Linked DNA regions of Mus musculus. The protein of the gene in region 1 purifies or fractionates together with the protein of each later gene. This does not show direct contact. Links are inferred from orthologs where the notes say so. Each region holds a gene or a part of one and is shown in the gene's direction. Other genes may lie near its edges.

What was found. Proteins that work in one complex are often made in the same cells at the same time.
Region 2: the proteins of Kcnq1 (region 1) and Akap9 purify together in Homo sapiens (affinity purification with western blotting; 3 studies listed by BioGRID and IntAct, with this or other methods). This does not show direct contact. The link is inferred for Mus musculus from reciprocal best matches to the Homo sapiens genes KCNQ1 and AKAP9.

The regions. Positions count from the first base shown.
Region 1 is NC_000073.6:143,102,120-143,112,191, forward strand, and holds the start of Kcnq1 (potassium voltage-gated channel subfamily KQT member 1), read left to right. Parts: upstream 1-5,239; coding exon 5,240-5,622; intron 5,623-7,079; exon of another isoform or gene 7,080-7,316; intron 7,317-10,072. UniProt on the Homo sapiens protein: Pore-forming subunit of the voltage-gated potassium (Kv) channel involved in the regulation of cardiomyocyte excitability and important in normal development and functions of myocardium, inner ear, stomach and colon.
Region 2 is NC_000071.6:3,922,979-3,933,072, forward strand, and holds the start of Akap9 (A-kinase anchor protein 9), read left to right. Parts: upstream 1-5,207; 5' UTR 5,208-5,464; coding exon 5,465-5,512; intron 5,513-5,610; exon of another isoform or gene 5,611-8,978; intron 8,979-9,430; exon of another isoform or gene 9,431-10,094. UniProt on the Homo sapiens protein: Scaffolding protein that assembles several protein kinases and phosphatases on the centrosome and Golgi apparatus. Required to maintain the integrity of the Golgi apparatus. Required for microtubule nucleation at the cis-side of the Golgi apparatus.

The DNA.
Region 1 (10,072 bases):
AGTCTCAAACGCACCCCCCCCATTGTTACCCTCTGACTTCACCAGATGAACGAGGAGTAAGTGGGCAAGGGGGTGCAGATGAATTGGCAAAGAGTCCTTAGAGAGTCAGCATGTAAAAGGGCAGGCACCAGATTTCTAGAACATTCCAAGGCTTGGAGACAGGTAGTGAGAGGGTGATCTTCCAGGAGGCAGCCTGATGGGATGTGTGCACCCACTCAATGACTGTGGAAGTGGGAGGTGCTTCCTTGATAAAGCAGGAGTCCGGCAGAGAGCAGGTGGCACCCCAGAGTCCCATACCCAGAGTAACAGACCTCCATGGCCTAAGCAATCTACTCAGACTCTACCACAAGAGAGTTTTCTCTTCTTGGCTGATGTGCCCCTCAAGGATCCTTACCCACTTCCACAGTCGTCATGGGTTTGGTCTCTTCATGATACCCACCCATATGCAGGACTTTTTGTGTTTCCTGCTTCGGAGCCACTAGATTTTATTTCCTCAGCTTCAACTTCAGTCCCACCCTGAGCCCAGCCCCTCTTAGTTCCGTGCTCAACAGTATACCTAGAATACCTAGAGTCCCTCTCTTTGGTTCCCACCCTGTTCTGTTCCCCCCAACACACACACACACACACACACACACACACACACACACACACACACACACACAGAGACATTCTCTGTCCAGCTTTTTGGAGAGGGCAAGGACCTCATAGCAGCCCCTTGCCCAGCCTCCTCTCTGCCTCAGTGTCCTTCAGAACAGATTCCTTGTCCAGGGTAGGGCAGGCATCCCCAAGAGCCCTAAACCAACCAAACCAAACCAAACCAAACCACACAACAACAAAAACCCCTTTATTTGTTGTATGTAAATGCTTGTACCATGGCATGTGTGTGGAGGTCAGAGGACAAGTTAGGGTTGTCTGTTCTCTCCTTCCATACGAATCCCAGGGAATACAACCTGGACTGTCAGACTTGGTGGCAAGCAACTTCACCCATTGAGCCACATCTCAAAGGTCCTAGGAGAGCATTCTTCTTCTTATCTTCCCCCAGGACAGACCTGGACAGTTATGAGTATATTTAAAAAAAATGGAAACACACATGAAAGTAAATAGCTCAGTATAATTCGTGCATTCACTATAGTTCCAACAATTCCTAATTCAGAGGCAGTATGGTTTAATCTGCACCTGACTCCCATCCTCTTCCTGTTGATGGTTTCAAAACATCAGACTTCTATCCACACGTTCTTCTGTGTGTAACCTTTGGCAGGCATGGCCTCCTCACACCCTGAAGCTGGTGCAGAGAAGGCAAGGCAGGCCACATCTTACCCTACCCCCTCTCATTTTCAGAACAAAGAGCCAAGCAACAGTCCAAGGGCAACGAGGACTTTGCAAGTCTTATTATGAACAAACTGGGTTTTAGGATATTAGGCATGCTTCAATTGATATATTTGTTTGTTTTTGGAGATAGGAGCTCACTCTGTAAACCTTGAACTCATGGCAATCCTCCTGCCTCAGCGTCTTGGATTCAGGGATTACAGATTCGAGTCTCTCTGTGCAGCTGTGCTGCTTGAATTCTGCTCTTGCTCAGACTTTTCCAAGTGTGTGTGTTTGGGGGGTGGAGTTTACACAAGCATGGGTATATATTTGTATGTGGTGGAGTATGTGTGGTGCACAAGGGTGTGTGTCTGTGTGTACATGTGTGTGAAAACCAGAAGACAAATTTTTGGTGTTGTTCCTCGGTGGCAGTCCATCTTGATTTTTGAGACAAGGTCTCTCTACATCTCTGACTGTCCTGGAACTCACTGTGTAGAAGAGGCTGACCTTGCACTCACAGAGATCCACCTGCCTCTGTCTCCCAAGTGCTGGGATTAAAGGCACGGGCTACTATGCCTGGTATATGTCCCACATTTTTATGTGGGTTCTGGGACTGAACTCAGTCTTCATGCTTGTCCAAGCAAGCAATTCACCAACCAGGCCATCCTCACCCTGATCTTTCCAAAGTTTTTAGTCGGATATAGCTGTAAAGTAATCTTGAAAGGAAACAACAGAGGAGATTATGGTAATATTTTAAACTCACATTAAAGATTTGTTTTTACTTCTTTGATTTTACATCTGTATCTTTTATATCTTGGTTCCTAAGAGACTCAAAAGGATTGCTTATTTGATATGTAAACATATATGTTTGATTTGTTCAGACAGCTGGTGCTGCAAATCTCCAGGTTCTGCAACCCACACCAGATGGAAGATATTTGAAAAACAAATTACTTCTGGATTGGACTAGCACAGCTCTTATTCTTTCCCCAACAATATAATGTAGACTACTCCACCTAACATTCCCATTGTGCTCGGTATTTTGAGGAATCTAGAGATGGGTTGAGCTACACTGGAGGATGCACATAGTTTCTAAACACAGACTCCCCTACTTTACGTGAAAGACTTGAGCACTGAGAATTTTAGCCTGGGGGTCATCTGGAGTAGGAACCTACCAATATTATTACCTATGGTTCAATTATTTTTTTCCTTTGGATATTAGTGATAATGACTGTCATGAACCTTTATTGTGTGGCTCTGTTAGAGTATAAGTCAACCAACAGAACCGCAATGTGTTTGTCTTTGTGTGTGTGTGTGTGTGTGTGTGTGTGTGTGATGGACTCACAGGTGTGTGAACATGCGCTTGTGAGCATTTGCAGAAGGCAGCAGAGGGTCTCTGGTGTCCTATTATATCACTCTTTGCCTTGGCAGGGTCCCTTGTTCAACCTTAGAGTTTGAGTTTTTCAGTTAGGCTGGAGCCAGAAGTCCCAGAGTCTTTGCCCCCCGCCCCACACACAAGCATGCAGAGGGTCACACTTGGCATTTATATGAGTGATGGATTCTTAACACTAGTCTTCATGCTTGAGAGGCAAGTTCTCTTAACCACTGAGCCATCATTTCAGCTGCTTATCTTTTGCTAATATAAGCCACGTTGCAGTAAGCACACAGGTTTATATGCTTATGTATTCTCTCTCTCTCTCTCTCTCTCTCTCTCTCTCTCTCTCTCCTTACATAGCCCAGGTTGGCCTTGAACTTACTATGTCGGTGAGGATGGCCTTGAATTCCTAATACTCTTGTAAACTCCTACCTCTCAAGTACTCAGATTACAGGTGTGCTCCACCATGCCCACCTTCATCTTCTGTTTTTCTCGTTTGTCTTTGGGTTGGCTATTAGTGGTGGGATTTCCAGGTCAAAAGGCACATACGCTCTTGCTAAGGCTGCCAAGATGCCCTTCCCACGGGTGATTAGGAAAGCACCTGCCACCCTGGCCTCTCCCAAAGATTGTGCCGTCAAACATCTGGAGTTTTGCCAATCAGATAGTGGGCCGCTGGTATCAGAGTGTACTTTTAATTTGCATTTTCTTATTATGAGTGAGGCTGAGAATGTTTTCCCCCTGAGGCACCAAGGCTGCATGCCTCTTTCCCTGTGTTCGGATCCTGTTTTCAGCCCACTCTCCCACAGCACTGGCTGCGGCAGTCTGCCCAGGCTTTAGATGGTCCTTATGTATGAATGATTATTATTAATCCTTTGCCTGTGGTGGTGAAAACGGCCTTGTCTCCTATCTCCTACTTCCCCTGCGGCAACTTTCTGCTTTATCTGCCGCTTCCGGATTTCACAGCACAGTTGGAAATGTTTTCCTTAGTGACAGTTTCTTGAGGCAGGTGCTCTTCCCCCACATCCTCATCAGACCTAGGTCCTTGCATACACCAGGCACACACTCTACCTCTGGTTATAGCAATGGCCCCTCACCTTTGTTCTTTCTGCACAGCTTTCACCAAAGCCTTTGATCCACCTGTTCTCGTATCCTTCCATCACTGCGATAAACACCAGGACCAAGAGCAGCTTGGGTGAGGAAAGGGTTTATTTCAGCTTACCAATTACAGCCCATCTTCAAAGGGGGGCCAGAGAAGGACCTCAACCAGGAACCTGGAGGCAGGCCTGCTCAATATTCTACATAGCACCAACTCCCATCAAAGAACTCATTCACAACCAAGGAAGTTGAGCAGAAAACCCAGAGGAGCGCTGCTTGCTTGTTTGTTTGTTCTCAGGCTCATGCCCAGCTACCTTTCTTATATAGCTTAGGCCCACCTGCCCAGGAAACAGACACGGCCCACAGTGGGCTGTGTCTTCCCACATCAACTAAGACAATCAAGACAATCTTCCTCAGACACACCCACAGTCTAATCCAATTTAGGCAGTCCTCCTACTGATTCCCTTCTCAGATGACCCTAGGCTGTGTCAAGTTGACAACTGAAGCTAACAGGACGGTATCTGAAAGTTATTCTTGTGAGTGGTGTGAGAGGTGGGTGTGGCGGATCACAGGAGAATGGGATTTTGGAATTGTCCTGGGATGCAGGTGCCCTTCCATCCCACACAAAGGCCAGTGTAGCAAGAGCCAGCTGCACAAACCTTCTGACTATCCTCACACCACCACGGGACATAAAGCTCCTTCTGTGTCACTCTGGAGAGGTACAAACTTAAAGGGAGTGTAAACATGTAAACGCTCAGGCAGCCCCGCGGGCGGTGTCTACCTGTAAAACCCGCAATCTAGCACTTGCCTTTGACCCCACTCTTAGTGAGCACCACTCTTGGTCTGTTCCCATCTCCTCCATCCCGCTGTCTTATGGGCTGCGATTAACTACTGGGAAGAGATTTTCGCATTCTCCGCCGCCAACAGAGGCTTCTGGACACCCAAGGGTGCTCAGTGTCCGCTGGGCTAACACTTCCTCATTCTGTGCCGGAAAGTGTCCATGCGTGGCCTGGGATGCCCTTTTCTGCCTCCCGCTCCCTCTCTAGGGTAGGTTCAGATAGCGAGAAAAAGGGTGCTTGTGATTCGTGGTGGTGGTATCTGCTGGTCCCAGGTTGGAGGACCCTAGAGCCAAGCAGGCGGGCGGTCCTCGGGGTGCGGGGAAGCACGTGCGCCCAGCAGGTGCGCCCAGCCCGGAACGCGGAGATAGCCTGACTTGGCTTGGCGGAGCAGGTAACCCGCTGGCTGAGCAAGGCCGCAGGTAGGCGCGCGGTGGCGCCCAGGGGCGGGGCGTCCTGGGGGCGGGACATGCCATCCCCGGGGACCAACCCCGCCCCCGCCCCCAGGCGGAGCAGACAGCGGCCCCCCGTGGCTGGGCTGGCAGCAGTGGCTACCCGCGCTGCGCCCTGCGCTCTGCGCTGCCTTCACCTCAGCTCCGAGGAGCAGCGGGGTCAGGGGTCCTGTCTGGCCATGGACACGGCCTCGTCCCCGCCCAGTGCTGAAAGGAAGCGCGCGGGTTGGAGCCGCCTGCTAGGCGCCCGGCGGGGCAGCGCGGTGGTCAAGAAGTGTCCCTTCTCACTGGAGCTGGCCGAAGGTGGCCCTGAGGGCAGCACGGTCTATGCGCCCATCGCGCCAACCGGAGCCCCCGGGCTCGCGCCCCCCATGTCGACCCCAGTGTCGCCCGCCCCGGCCCCTGCAGACCTCGGCCCACGTCCGCGGGTGAGCCTTGACCCGCGGGTCTCCATCTACAGTGCGCGCCGCCCGCTGCTGGCGCGCACCCACATCCAGGGCCGAGTCTACAACTTCCTCGAGCGCCCCACGGGTTGGAAGTGTTTCGTGTACCACTTCACCGTGTGAGTAACCTCCCTGCACGCACGACTCTTAGGGCTGGTGCCACTATGACCCTAGGGGAGGCAAGGAAGGGCTAATCACAGAAAGCAGAAACCAGACTGAGAGTCGGTCCCTTAAACTCAGGGACTCTGCTGTGGCTTGTGGAGGGGGACACTTGCAGTACACCAACCTAGGAGATCCCCCAGGGCATTCACTTGGGATAGAGGGACAGCGCTTAGATGTTAGTCTCTACAGGAGGAGTAAGCAAGCTGGAAGCCGACCTTTTGGTGTGGGTCAGTTGTGACAAGAGAGACTCAGGAGCCTCCAGGAGTGACTGGTGTCTGTGTGCAAGCCCATCCAGGCCTTGGCTGGTGTCTGTGTCTTAGGCACTCAGAGCAACAGGATAGATTAGCAGGTGCACTGGTGTTGCCCAAGATGTCCACAGGGAGTGCCCACAGCTTCAATAACCCAGGCTGATGAAAGCAGGCTTGATGCCCTGAGCGAGCCCAGTAGACATTGTCCGAGAACAGCACCTGCTTTAGGGAACAGGAGAGGGAGCTGAGCTGCACCTGGCCCTCACTGCTACCAGGTGGCTCTTATTCTCACAGGCTGCCTGAGAGGGGCAGGGCACTTCATTTTTCAAGGGCAGGGTCACAGAAAGTCATCTCCAGGAATGGGCTGGCTGCCCTCCTTGCTGCCTCCCCTGGCCACCTCGAGGCAGCACTTCCTGGCTGCCTAGTTTCTTGGTGCCCTGCCAGCCTCTGGCTCAGGATTCTACTCAACCGACCCCGCAGCTAATTGCTTTAGATGTTCCACTAGGTGACCTCCTTGTGGCTAGTCTTGCCACCTGGGCAGGGGAGGACCTCCACTGGTTGTCCAGAGGTCTGTTTATGCCTCTGAGGCACAGCAAGAACCAGGCTCACAAAAGTGAATTCGGATGGCTGTTTGCCTTGCAAAGGGAGACGATTGCCCAGGGTATCCAGGGCAAGTCTCTGGACACCCTGTCCCCACTGGCATTCTTGGTATGTCCTTAAGGCCACCCAACCCCCTGCCTTACCTCCCAAAGTGCCAGGACCCCTGAGGCTTCATTGCTGGTCTTTCGAGGATGGAGGCACTGCATGTGTTTGCAGCAGGAGTGGGCTTTTCTCAGGGCATAAAGACCCCAAAGGGCCTTAACCTTAACCACTGTAGGAATGTCTAGCAAACATGGCTTGCTGCTTTCTATAACTTGCCTGCTGGATCCTAAGATCCCTGAGATGAAAGGTGCTGGAGAAGCCGCTACTCTGTTACCTTTTTGTGCAGGAGCCCCATTTGCCAAGGTGGGCAGCCTTCAGACACTTGCATGGAATCCTCCTGGGGATGCAGGTCATTAGAATGAGCGTTGTTAAGTTCCTGACTCTGGTGGCCTGGACCTGGTGGAGGAAGAGGGCTTGTCCTGCCCCAGAGGAAGTCTGTGCTTACACTGTGCTTTCTTCCTGAATTGGATTGTTCAGCCCTCGGGAAGTTTGCTCAGCAGAGCTTGCCTTTGCCCAGCCTCCTCAGGAGCCAGGAGCCAGGAGCCAGGAGCCAGGAGCCACTGAGCCCTGGTGGCTTCTAGATTGGTGGTCTAAGATCTTCTTTGTCAAGGAGAGGGAGAGAGATGCTAGCTCCTGAGTGGTGGTCGGTGAATCTTGCCCAGCCCTGGCTGCCCATGGAGTTTAGTTACAAAGAGGGAGGGGTAAGTAAGCTGGGAGGACCCTGCTGGGTACAGCATGTGGTTTGCTCAGACACTAGGGGGAGGGATCTCATCTCCATCACCTTCAGGAGGTGGGCAGGACCCTCTGGGTCAGGCAGTTTCCAGAAAAGAGTCATGGCCAGCAGTTGGGAGCCTAACATCTTTATAAAATGTGTGGTCATGCTGGTTGTCCCTGGTGATGTTCTAAGAAGCAAATGTGGCTGGCAAACTGTGAGCTCCGCACTTGGTAAGATGGACCCTTAAAACATACAGGGATGGTTCTGTGGCCCAAAGGACAAGCCTGCTTTTGAAAAGCAGGGCATGAATGTGTGGGGGTGGAGGGGGTGGAGGGGTGAGAGCCAGTGTCCTGCAGTCTCTGGGGTATGCTTTCCCACATGCGTATGGGGAAACAGACCCGGACATCCTGGCCCCTCCTTGGGGGACCCCTGCCTTGGCCCAAGTAGAGCGGCTCTTCCTGTGTCTGTGCTGACCTCCCCTGCTTGACAGGGTCAGGACACTGGTCCCCAGGCACTGCCCTCTGCTGCTTGGGTTCCCACCCCACCCCCTCACCCTAATCCTATCTTGTGGCTCTTTGAGTTCCCATAGAGAGCAGCCCCCTTCCTAGCCAAGGTCACAGGGGTCCAGCTGCCTTGCTGTTGGGCCTTGGCCAGGGTTGGGGGCAGATGTTCCAAACTATCTACTCTGACTGTCAAGCTGCTTGGAGACCCTGGTTGTGACCAACAGAGGGGTTTAAGAGATACTACCCACCTCCCTCACTTTTGAACCTGAACTTGATCATCCTGTCTCTATCCTCTCACAGTTCTGGCTTGCTCAGTTCCCTGAGAACTTTTTGGTGGCTTTTGCTAGTACCTCAGGGAGTTGATCGTGAGTGGAGCTTACAGCTACTCCTGGTAGTCAAATGGGCTGGCCTTTTTGATTGCAGGGGCTGCAGTGTATTGGTTATGACTCTCATGGAGTGGCCAGTGGGCAATTAGTTAGCAGACCTAGGAAGATGGCTGTCAGGATGATGGGGACAGAGCAGTGAGGGCTGTGTAGATGACCAAGTCTTTCCTTCTGGTTACTATAAACACCTCTACCTATTCTTCAACCCTAGATAAAATTTGAAGCTTCTCCACATGCCATCTCCTCTGGGGCCTGGTCCCTTGGTGTCATCAGCTAACTCTCTTGGCATCTTGACTTTCCAGGTACACATAACCCCTCAACCTGTCCTCAGACCCAGCCTGGCATTTCTGTGTACACTGTGTGCCTGTGTGTGGAGCACTTCATCTTGGTTTGTTCTGAGTTGGGTGGCCATAAACATCCCTTGTGGCAAGGCTCCCAGCTGGGTAGTAGGAAGAGACAATCCCATGGAACTCCGACCTGAGGAAGAGCCTCCCTACCCTGGACATGAGGGCATGGGGACCTATGCCAGGCTAAGGTAGTACTGGGAGCTGCTGAGGCAGGGAAGAAGCCCATGGTGTCACAAGGACAGGGCATTGTCAGGCCAGCTGCTATGGCCTCTGTTTCTCAGGGAGTTTGGTGTTTAGAGCCCTCTGGTGGCAAAGGTAGTGTCCAGAGCTCATGCTTCCTGGGTGTGGTGTCCCCTTTGCAAACAGTGCTTACTTAACAAAGCACAGTGCAGGGTGGCATCCACAGCAGGTCTGCCTAGCAGTGAGGAGAGCTGCAGCTGTCTCTATCAAGTGGCTCCTGAGTAATAAGATGCACAGTTCTGGTCATGGCCAGTGTAAGGGCCCCTGCTCCTCCCACCCTCTCTCTTCTGCACCCTTATCTAGGAAGTGGACCCTGATTAGCCCCATGGTCCCTCCTGGCTCTGACATTCCAGTCCAGCTGTTGCCTCCTATGTACCTTGCTGTGATTCATTTCCCTCTTCATGAGATTGACAGGCTGGGGCAGACACCAGGGCATGTTCCAGGACCAAAAGGAGTCCAGGTGGTATGGGGATGGGTGGTCTGTCCCAATGAAAGGTTGTAGAGAAGCTTCTAGAAGCTCTTATGCCTCTGGTAGGGAGAATGAAGGAAATTAAGTGCTGGCCACAGGGGCCACTTGGATGCTGAAACTAAGGAATAGTTGCAGAGGGAAGGTGCAGGCCCTTTTGACACTGTGGGGAAGCATAAGAAGTAATAGGTAGAGCAGGAGGTAGGCTGTGGCCCTGCAGGGCCTTAGGGCCAAAGAGTAAGTGGTGCTACTTAATAGATTATGCCATCTAAGCTCTGCTCATCCTACCTGAGGCACTCAGGGATGTATCCTCCTTGCTCTTCCTCATGGGAATCCCTTTTCATAACCCCTTGGAGCATGCAGAGCCCCAGATTTCTGCAAGCCTCAGAGAGGAGCCAGTGGTTGCTCTATCAGCAGGGTGACTGTGGCCATCACAAGACCTGACTTTTCATGAGGCTTCAGAGCCCGTGAAAGGACTGCCTCTGTGAACACGTTATCTTCTGCTGTGTGGCCCAGCCCCGTTCCCTGGCCCTGCCCAGAGGCCTCTTGAGAGGTGGAGGGGACTGTAGCAGTGGCTCTGTCAAGGGCCTGTCAAATATGGCTACTTGCTGTGTGCATCTGGGAACCCTGGAACTTGGAGACAGTAGCTTATCTGCCTAAGGTCACACAGTTGGCTATGCCCAAGAATCCAGGAGCTCCCTCCTCATAAACCACACGCTGATCAAACCAAGTAAGGAGTGGATTGCTATTCTTCTGGGAGTAGAGTCTCTGAATGGAAGGATCTTGTCCTGTGGGAATGAGTT
Region 2 (10,094 bases), on another chromosome or scaffold:
CTTCTTTTGTCTTCTCTGACTAACCTTGGATTTAAATCTAGTTTTTCCAGACACAAGTAAGGTTGCTGCTACTTTCTCTCAGGCTCCTTTTGATTGAAACCTTTTCAATTCTTTTACTTATAGTAAGTTTAGTGTGTTCCTTTGCCAGTGAACTGAGTTTCTTGTAGAGGATATACAGTTGGGCCTCAATTTTTATTTTTTTAAATCCAATTAGTCAGTATGGCTCTAAAAAAACCCCCAAAACCCACCAATGATACATTGCGTTTTGAGAGGTCTACACTCTAGCCCTGGCTCTCAATATATCCTTATTTAAATATTTTTACTTAATTGTTTATTCATTATTATGTGTATATGTTTGATACAGGGAGGGGTGCATGCCATAGTGTTTATGTAAAGATCAGAAGACTGACTTGTAGAGTAAAATCAGGTCAGCAACTCTGAGTGGTGAGCGCTTTTACCTTGAGCCGTGCTACCCATCCCCTTAAAGTAGCTCTTTTATTTTGTTTAAAGAGTTTAGACTTTTGATATAGGGCTATGGTTGAAAAAAGTCTTGTAAGCATTTTCTTATTGTTGTTTTCTATTTTTGTTTGTTTAAATCCTTTCTATTTTAGTTTTTCCCCTTACATCTTGTGGTTTAGTAATTTGATGAGCTAATAGTGTTTGATATGTTTTCTTTTTTGACTTTCATTTGCTTTTATTTTTTCTAGTGAAATTTAGTTTTTTCCATGATTTCTCATGAATGCATGTGTTTCTTCATCATGTGTGTACAAGGTTCCTTTAAGTATATTCTGTAAAGTACTGAGGTTCTATCCTTTTCCACTTCCTTCTTTTCCCTCTAACCCTTCCTTCCTGCATCTCTCCTCTCAAATCCATGGCCTCTTTGTCTTTAATAATTTTTATTACATGTATATATGCATATAAATACATAGATACAACCTGCTGTGTCCATCTAGTAACTTCTATATATGTATGTATTGTAGGGCTGATGACTGAATAACCAATTAGGGAGCCCATTCCTAGGGAAGACTGATTGTCCTTCTCTTAGCAGTCAGTAATTGCCTCAAGCTCAAAAATGTATTTTTTTAAAAAATTGCTTGATAGGAAACAATTTAAATTGTGCCCACTATATATATTATGTAATACACACACACACACACACACACACACACACACACACATAATGAATAAATGAAATGACAATCCTTTTCACTAGAGAAAAGGGTCATGAAGTCATAAACAGTCTTAAATTCTGGATTTGGATTATTGTAATCTTATGGGATCCTTTCATTTTTAACTTATTGTTTTCATGTATGTATATACATGATGCATGTGCACATGACTTGTGTGTGCATAATGTGCATGTTTCCTTTTAAAAGATTGTTCTCCACTTTCTTTTGATTTTGGATTTTGAAAACAAAAGTGTTTTATGGATCTTCAAAATGGAGTTACATTTCTAGTTTCTTAGATAAAACTATGTAGGGATAAATATTTGATATTTAAAAATTTGAAAAATTTAAATATACAATATACATAAGATGTATTCATTTGAGTCCTTAAAAACTGAAAGAAAACATGTACCCCGATCACCCTTGGCAGTAGAAGATTTGTGCAAGCAATGTGGTGCTATGTAAGCCATCCCAGGATGTTATCTTCCAAGCTATAGAGTTACTCCTGGTACTTGTAAGAAGGAAGCAAATACAGCAGGAGAGGTCTCATGGAGTGACCTGAATTCCCGTAACACATCAGACATGTTGGTGGCCAGGAGGAGAAGATGGGATGAGGTGTCTACATTCCTCTTCAAGTCAGAGCTAAAACTGGTTTGGATTTTGTGCTGGTCTAACTTAGGTAAACATTTTGTGTACCTAGTCTTAAGAGTGATCTGAACACTTGTAGCTCACTCAGCAAGACTGATTCACTCAACACCCCAGTAGCCATAGTAATTTTCAGCAATTTATCTAGCAAGAGTAATACAAAACTTTCTATTTAGAATAAATGTATTTATTTGCAAAACACATGAAACTCAAGAAGGAAGACCCAAGTGTGGACTCTTTGCCCTTTCTTAGAATTGGGAACAAAACACCCATGGAAGGAGCTACAGAGACAAAGTTTGGAGCTGAGACAAAAGGATGGAACATCTAGAGACTGCCATATCCGGAGATCCATCTCATAATCAGCCTCCAAACGCTGACACCATTGCATACACCAGCAAGATTTTGCTGATAGGACCCTGATATAGCTGTCTCTTGTGAGACTATGCCGGGGTCTAGCAAACACAGTAGTGGATGCTCACAGTCAGCTATTGGATGGATCACAGGGCCCCCAATGGAGGAGCTAGAGAAAGTACCCAAGGAGCTGAAGGGATCCGCAATCCTATAGGTGGAACAACATTAAGAACTAACCAGTACCCCGGAGCTCTTGTCTCTAGCTGCATATGTATCAAAAGATGGCCTAGTTGGCCATCACTGGAAAGAGAGGCCCATTGGACTTGCAAACTTTATATGCCCCAGTATAGGGGAACTCCAGGGCCAAAAAGTAGGAATGGGTGGGTAGGGGAGTGAGGGGGAGGGTATGGGGGACTTTTGGGATAGCATGGGAAATGTAAATGAGGAAAATACCTAATAAAAAAGAAAAAGGGGAAAAAAAGAGTAAATGTATTTTATCCTGAGTAGAAAGACTACATGGGCCTTTGCCATAATATTTGGTAACTCACAGTTTAATATATTGCAACTACTTACTGATGTAAAAGACCTTGCAGATCTGAATTTTGTGTTCATATATTCTATTAGTCAGTAATTAATTGCACTCTCTTGGATTATTGGCCTATAATTGCATCCTTGGTAATAGTAGTACCTTAAATTTCTCTGATTTCATTTAGATTATAGGTCACTTTAATGGTTATAGTTCTGTCTTATAAGTTATTATTTTAAAGGACTTTCATTTTGAAACTTATTTTATTGAGCACATTTTATAAACATATATTTAGTCCCTTAAAACCCCACTGTTGGGGCTGCAGAGGTGGCTTAGTAGGAAAAGTGTCTGCCTCACACGTGTGAGGAACAGTTTGCACCCCACACATGTTAATGCTGAACAGTCACAGTAACATGCTTGTGACCCCAAGCTCAAGAGGGAGAGATGGGTAGGACCCGTGAAGCTGGCTAGTTAGAGTAGCTGCATTGTCAAGGTCTTAGTTCCAGCCTCCATCCACATGTGAAACGTGACTAAGGAAGCCCCCAAGGCCAACCTCCAGCATCCAGAAGCACATGAATACATATCTGACTTCCACACATGTAAACATACGTGTGCACTCAGAGCACACATACAAAAGAGCCTCTGCAAATCCTGACCCTTTTTATTTTTTAATTTTTTTTTTTTTATTGTTTGGAGACATAGACAGCTAAATAGAAAAAGACTCAAATTCACGGCTTGGCAGCACTAGCTATGACTTCCATTACCTAACCATGGGAAGTTGTCAAGTGGTTTAACCATTCAAGCTTTCTGTTTCTTATTCTATAAAAGGAGGCATATAAACCACCATTTTCCTTTTGTCTGAATTATATGAATACATGACATGGAGACACGATTGAACAGGTATCATAAGAGATGGCCATAATTCCACAGATGTGCCCTTCTAATAGATCAGCTATGTCACTGAGCAGCGTTTATGCCTGAGACAGGTACATATAATTGATATAAGTGATCTAAAGGGAAATGCAGAAATAATCTTGCAACATTTAGCAGATCACTAACATCTTTAGTTACTAAGATGGAACAGATTGCAACAAAGAGTTGACCTGCTGAGCCACTGAGAAAGGAGAGCCCATTAACAAACAGGAAGTCTGTCAGATATCCTGGGCTTGCTCCTCCTAGGCAATCAGAATCAACCGAGCATCACTTAACTCCAGGCAGTTTAGAACACTTCATTCTAGACCTGGAGCCACAAAGGGCTCCCGAGAAAAACACGCCTCTCTTAGATCAGCCTCTTTTACTTTCCTTTATTCTTATGATGAGGTGTCTGTTCTCACGTCCCCAATTCCAGCTGAGAAAATGGGGCAAATACACACTTGATTGTTTTAGGTTGGCACAATTATGTTTGAAATATAAGATTTCTAAATTACAGGTACTAGAAACATTTTTGGTGTCTGATAGAGCTAAGGTTTTTAGTCTCCCCCTTTCATATGTATATCCAGTTAACACTACTTCTATGATTAAACTAATATCTTTAGTTCTTACCTGCTAATTTTTCAGTCCAAACCTATGTTAAAACAAAGAAGAAAGGCTCAATCTGAGACACTAAAATGGTTCGTTCACTCCAGAAATGGATTTGAGGGGCAGGAGAGGGGAAAGAGGGAGTGAGGGAAGGGAAAGAAAGGATTGCCAGAGCAGGTGGGGGAGGAAAGATGTTAAGAATCGATTTATAAGCACGGCTCAATAAAATGTAACAAAGTTTATTGGGCATAATCTTTCACAGTAGCCATTTCAAGAAATAGAAAGGACAAAGGTTTGAGTGTTTTCACATTCCAGGAGCAGTCATAAATATTAGGCAGCTCGTCCAAGAACTCCAGGTAAAGTCAGAGAACCATAGCTGTTTTAAGGTCTTTAAAGTTCAAAGTTAACATAGTCCCTTTTGCTTGGAAAACCTTTTTCCAGCCCTTTACCTGAGGTAATGTCTACCTCAGAGGTGAAGGGGAGAGAGGTAAGCCAGGAGGGGTCATGGTGGGGTGGGGGGGATGGGAGGAGAGGGGGGCTGAGGTCAGGATGTAAAGTGAATAAATAACTAATGGGGGGCTGGAGGAGGGAAAGTTAGGGTAGACTGGCTTTGTTCCCAACTTAGATTCCGAATTCGAGTTCCTTAGGAACACAGTTGCCAAGGAGAAGGAAGCCCCTAGGAGTGTCTCAGCTTCACTCCAGAGAACAAAGAGTTGGGAGAAGGCTCTACCGTAGGCTGCTCTTCCAGCGCAAGGCGAAGGAGAAGACTATGGGTTGAGAGGGAACCTGTGGGGGAACTGAGGGAGGGATTTGGGGTGAAGGAAGGATCAGGCTTCCCCGGGTTGGAGGGGGGAGGTTCCGCCCTCGCCCTTTCCACTGCGGCTCCTTGTTGTGAGGCCGCGGTCGCTTTGGAATTGGAAATGCAGCGCGGCGTGTTCCGAGCACCGGGTCCCCGGAGCAGTGGGTGTCGGGCCGCCGGACCCTGACCCTCCCTCCGCCCCGGTCAAGCCGGGCGCGCACAAGCACCTGCCGGGCCACGCTCGCGGCTGCGCCGGCCGCCCGCCCGCCCGCTCCGCCCCGCCGGCCGCCGTGTGTTTACGTGGAGACGAAGATGGCGGCGGTGACCGCGGGGCCCGTGCAGGCCGGCACGAGTCGCCGGTGAGCGCCCAGCGTGTCCCGGGTGGCCACGGAGCTCTGTCCGCCTCTTTCTAAACAGATCTTTCCTCTCCACTGCGTCCCAGCCTACCCTGCAGACGCCATGGAGGACGAGGAGAGGCAAAGGAAGCTGGCAGCCGGCAAGGCGAAGGTAGGAGCGCGGCGGCCACGGGCCGCGTCGGGAGGCGGTGACCCGGGGCGGAGGCTGGGGGAGAGGCCGGGCCGCGGGGCCGGGGCCGGGGCTGGGGCTGGGGCTGGGGCCGGGGCCGGGGCTGCGGCTGGGGCTAGGGGGCTGCGGCTGGGGCTGAAGAGCCGCCCTCTCTTGCTGCTGCTGGAGACCTGATGACTGCACCGCTCGGCTTGGTTCCTTTCTCCCCGGTGCCACACAAAACCCCCTCTCACCCCGGCTGTTAACTGCTAAGGAATTGCTTCGCAGCCACCACCCTTTCACTTTCTGAAGGGAGTTCAGGGAGTCGGCCAGGCTTTGTGCTTTCCGGAGCAAGGGTTTAGGGTTTTCTTTATTCCGGGAACACCCCTGCGCTGACCATCAGCCTGCCTTCTTGAGGTGTCACGCTGGCACTCTTGGTGTGTGTGTGTGATTGGCCTGTGACAGCTGCCTCGGCAGTGTCTTGAGTGTGCCACAAGTGCCAGCTGTGAACTTGGCTGTAGGGGCGTTCTTTTTGTTTTTTGTTTTTTGTTTTTGTTTTTGCCGTTCTTTGTATATTCGTGCTTGAGGTCTTTGTCATGGCAGGCTCTTTTGTAATGTGTGGAATGGAACTTCGGGGCATCGAAAGGTTCCATAGACTAAAACACCTACAGAATTGCTGTTTTAGATAATGTATTTGTTATTATGTATTTGGTAAGTTTGATTTTGTGTGGGTATGCGGGTATGGCAAGTCATGTATAATCCAGACTTATATGTAGGCATCTTCCAGTGGGCTTACTAAATAATTTGACACTGTTATGAATGGAATAGAATGATTTCTTTGTAAAATTACCTGTTTGAGCTTACCTTTGGACCTCCTTGCTCCCAAAAATGAAGTTACCTTTAAGATATAGTGCCTTTTTTTAAGACCTTATTGTTACTGGGAATAATTAAGTTATATTTTAAGCTTATTGTACTTGTTAGTTTGGAACTGTGATATGGAAGTGTTGTAAGCTAAATAAACCCCTCTCCTCTCCAAATTGCTTTGGTCATGATGTTTCATCATAGCAATAGTAACCCTAACGAAGGCACCTACCTTTCTTTTTTCTTCTCTCACATCATTAACAAAGGAAGCAGGTCAGTAATGAGTGAAGGGCCCTACTGGAGAGAGACGTTGGTACATGCTCAGCATTAGTTTGTTAAAGGAGTGTGTGCAATAGCTAATCTTGTATTTCTAGAATATAGTTAGTTGGTTTCCCATAAGCATCCTCTGTGTAAGGTCAAGATTTGAATGTGTCTCTGTGGCATTCTATAAATGGAGGGAAAGCCCAGCTTAGCTTCCCATTGTGCACCCCAAGGGACTGACCGGGCTCAGAGCATTGAAGGAATTGGAGGTGTAGTGTGCAGTCTTCCTCTCTTGTTCTCCCACCCTTTCTTTCTTTAGCAGAATCTTAGACTATAGTCCAGGTGAGCCTAGAGATCAATGTGTAGTCCAGGCTGGCTGGCTTCAGACTCTAGGGCAATTCTGTGTTAACCTTCAGAGCGATGGAATTCTGTGTGTGAGCTACTGTGTCCAGATAAGGTAGATGTCTTATTGACTACTTCATAATTTCTACTCCCTTCCCTAAATATATTCTGTGCTAAATATGTGTGAGGGACTCCTGCTGAGCTTTGTCTGCCTTCACTAGACCTGTCTTAGGGTTAAGTTGCTGCCAATAGATACTGGATTTATCTTTAGAAGAGATTGTGAATGTGGTTTCTACACATGTCTCTTTGTCTTTCAAAATGCTGTCTTTGTGGGGTTGGGGAGATAGGTGGTCTATTCACTGTGTGAACTGCTTGCTGTACAGGCATGTACACCGGGGTTCATAGTTGTAGCGCCCACACAAAGCTGGACGGCTGGACATGGTGGCATGCATCTGTAATGCAGGGCTTGGGAGAAAGGGACAGACAGACCCGTGGGACGTCCTGTCCAGTCCTCTAGCCAAAACACCAAGCTTGAGTGTCATCTGGACACCCTGTCTCAAAACATACTATACAAGGTGGATGGTGACAAGGGACAGCAAATGTGTCCCTGCACATAATTCATAGCTCTGCCTTTGGGGATGCAGTCTCTCTCCTAAAATTACTTTATTTAAAATATTACTTTGTCATAGAATTGCACCTACTCTCCCCATGAGGGTTATACCCATGTGTCTTATAAGTAGTTCTGGTAATGTAACAAACAGACACTGAGATAGCCTATGAAGACAACATGAAGAAAATAGTTTTCTCAGTTACCTGAAGGAATGTTCTGCAGCCATTACGCTTGTAGAGCCTCAAATGAACATGGGTCATAAAGTGCACCTTGTGTTTTCAAAAGCACTACATGTGTCTTTCATCTGTATAAACATGCTGCCTCTAATTAGGAGTGAAAAAAAAAACCGTATTGTGAATATAATCAGTGACTGGGGGGTGTAGCTCTGTGGTGCAGTGCAGAGCCCTGGATCCAGCTGACTTCATAAAGTCCCGTTTTATGGCAGGAATTGAAAGTACAGATGTGATGATTGCCTCTGCTCTGTGGGTCTAAAGGCAGACACAGGGTAGTGAGTCAAGTGCGGGCGCTCTGCAGTAGGGCCTGTGATAATTTATCTTCCCTAGTTTGGTAAAATGTTTTAGATACTGTTTACTTCCTGGAACATTATACGACGATGCTCTATTATTATGTTAATGCAGCTTCTAATTATCTATCAGATAGTAATTATTCAATACAATGTCTGCTTATTGAGTGAACAGAATGAGAAATGAGTCCTCCCTGGGTGCTTCTTTGTAAGTATGGCTACTACATAGTAATAAAGAATTCTTAGTCTAAAGTTGTTCATTGCTGCATAAGAAAAGAACATATAAAATCATTTTCCAAAACCCATTTAGAAGCTTGGTTTTCCACATTTCCTATTTACTGGGCTTAGTTGTTGTCTTTGATAATTTGTTTTCATAAATCACAATTCTTAAATCTTTTTCTTGGTAACTAACTGATTGGTAGGTTGTTTCATTGAAAATTTCCATTTATCTAGAACACATAAACACTCACTTTAAAAATAGCTTGTCATGTATACATTATAGTATATTTTACGAAATGTTTTATACCAATCTAAATCCAGTAAAGGAGAATAAATTATGGTGTATATGTAGCACAAGATCATTCTACAAAGACTTTAAGCTGGGTAAATCACCACAAATAGTGCTGGGTGAAAGGCTGTTGGGCTGACCAGCTCAGTCCCTGCCCAGTCCCAGATCCAGGGCTCTGAGCTGGCCCACCCAGTGTCTCTCCCATCTGTGAGCTGCTTCACATGTAAAAGGGGCGGATCCACAGCTCAGGACCTCCAGTGTCATAGGACAATAGCCTCTCCTAGTGGACTCCATGTGAGGAGAACCTTATCGCTACGGTATGGTAAGGTGTGTGCTGTCCCATAGAGCACTGTGGCTTAACTAGGTCCCAGTATGGATGCTGTCATAGAAGCCAGAGGCCTTGAACTGGACCAATGACCTGCAATGGACATTTCCAGGTAGACATGTGTGGCCAGAGGGTATTCTGTGGCACACACTGTGACATGCTACAGACAGATGTTTTCTATGCTTTCTTTTGTTTACTTATTTCTTTTACTTGGGACAAAGGGCAGACACAAAGGGACGCAGAAAAGTTGCTTTTTTTCAGGTATTTGGTCTCCGTAACAAGAAAAGTAATTAACCTGAAAGATGTCTGGCAGGAAGCACCAAAGGCTAGCACAGCTCCTGTTCTTATGGTCCCAAGCCGTATCCCCATCCCCACAATAGTTCTGTTATCATTAGGAAAAAATTAAAATACTATTTTAAAAAATAATCAAACCTTATCGCTACGGTATGGTAAGGTGTGTGCTGTCCCATAGAGCACTGTGGCTTAACTAGGTCCCAGGTGCCCTGTGGTCCTGGGCTGGTTCTGCTTTACTCAGCATTGCTCGTGTCATATAGCTGGCTTCGGTGTTAGAAGGCATTTGGGCGATGTCCTTTTGTTTGTTTGTTTGTTTGTTTGTTTTTTGTTTTTTTAAGGCAAAGTGTCATGTAGCCCAGGCTGGCCTTGAACTCCTGCTCCTCCAGCCTGTCTTCAGCACTGCAGACGGGTGCCCCAGACACTCCAAGCCCAGTGGATCTCTCTTGCACTCATTGCTGGGGACAGATCATCTGGCCTTACCCCTTCCTTTCCTTTGCTCCTACTTTGCTGTTTTAGGTCTGCAGTGACTAAAGAACCCAGAAACTGGGGTTCATAGACGAGTTTGTGAAAATTCCAAGGAGAAGGGAGCCAAGCAGAGCAGACTTCTCTGCCAGCTTAGTGTCTTCGTGGTTGTCTTTGCATTTGCTGTAGGGTCCTCAGTATTAGTGTTGTAAAAATCCTGTTTCCTGAGGAGAGACGATATTACCAGATTATTAAGTATTTTCAGACCCAGGCAAACCCTGTTTACTATGAAAAGATCAGGAATGGCACCACAGAGGCTGTCTGTCCTGTGTTGAACCAAACATTTCAGCTCCATTTTAAAAGACTTACTTTTTCCAAGTAAAATTACTTGGAAATTTA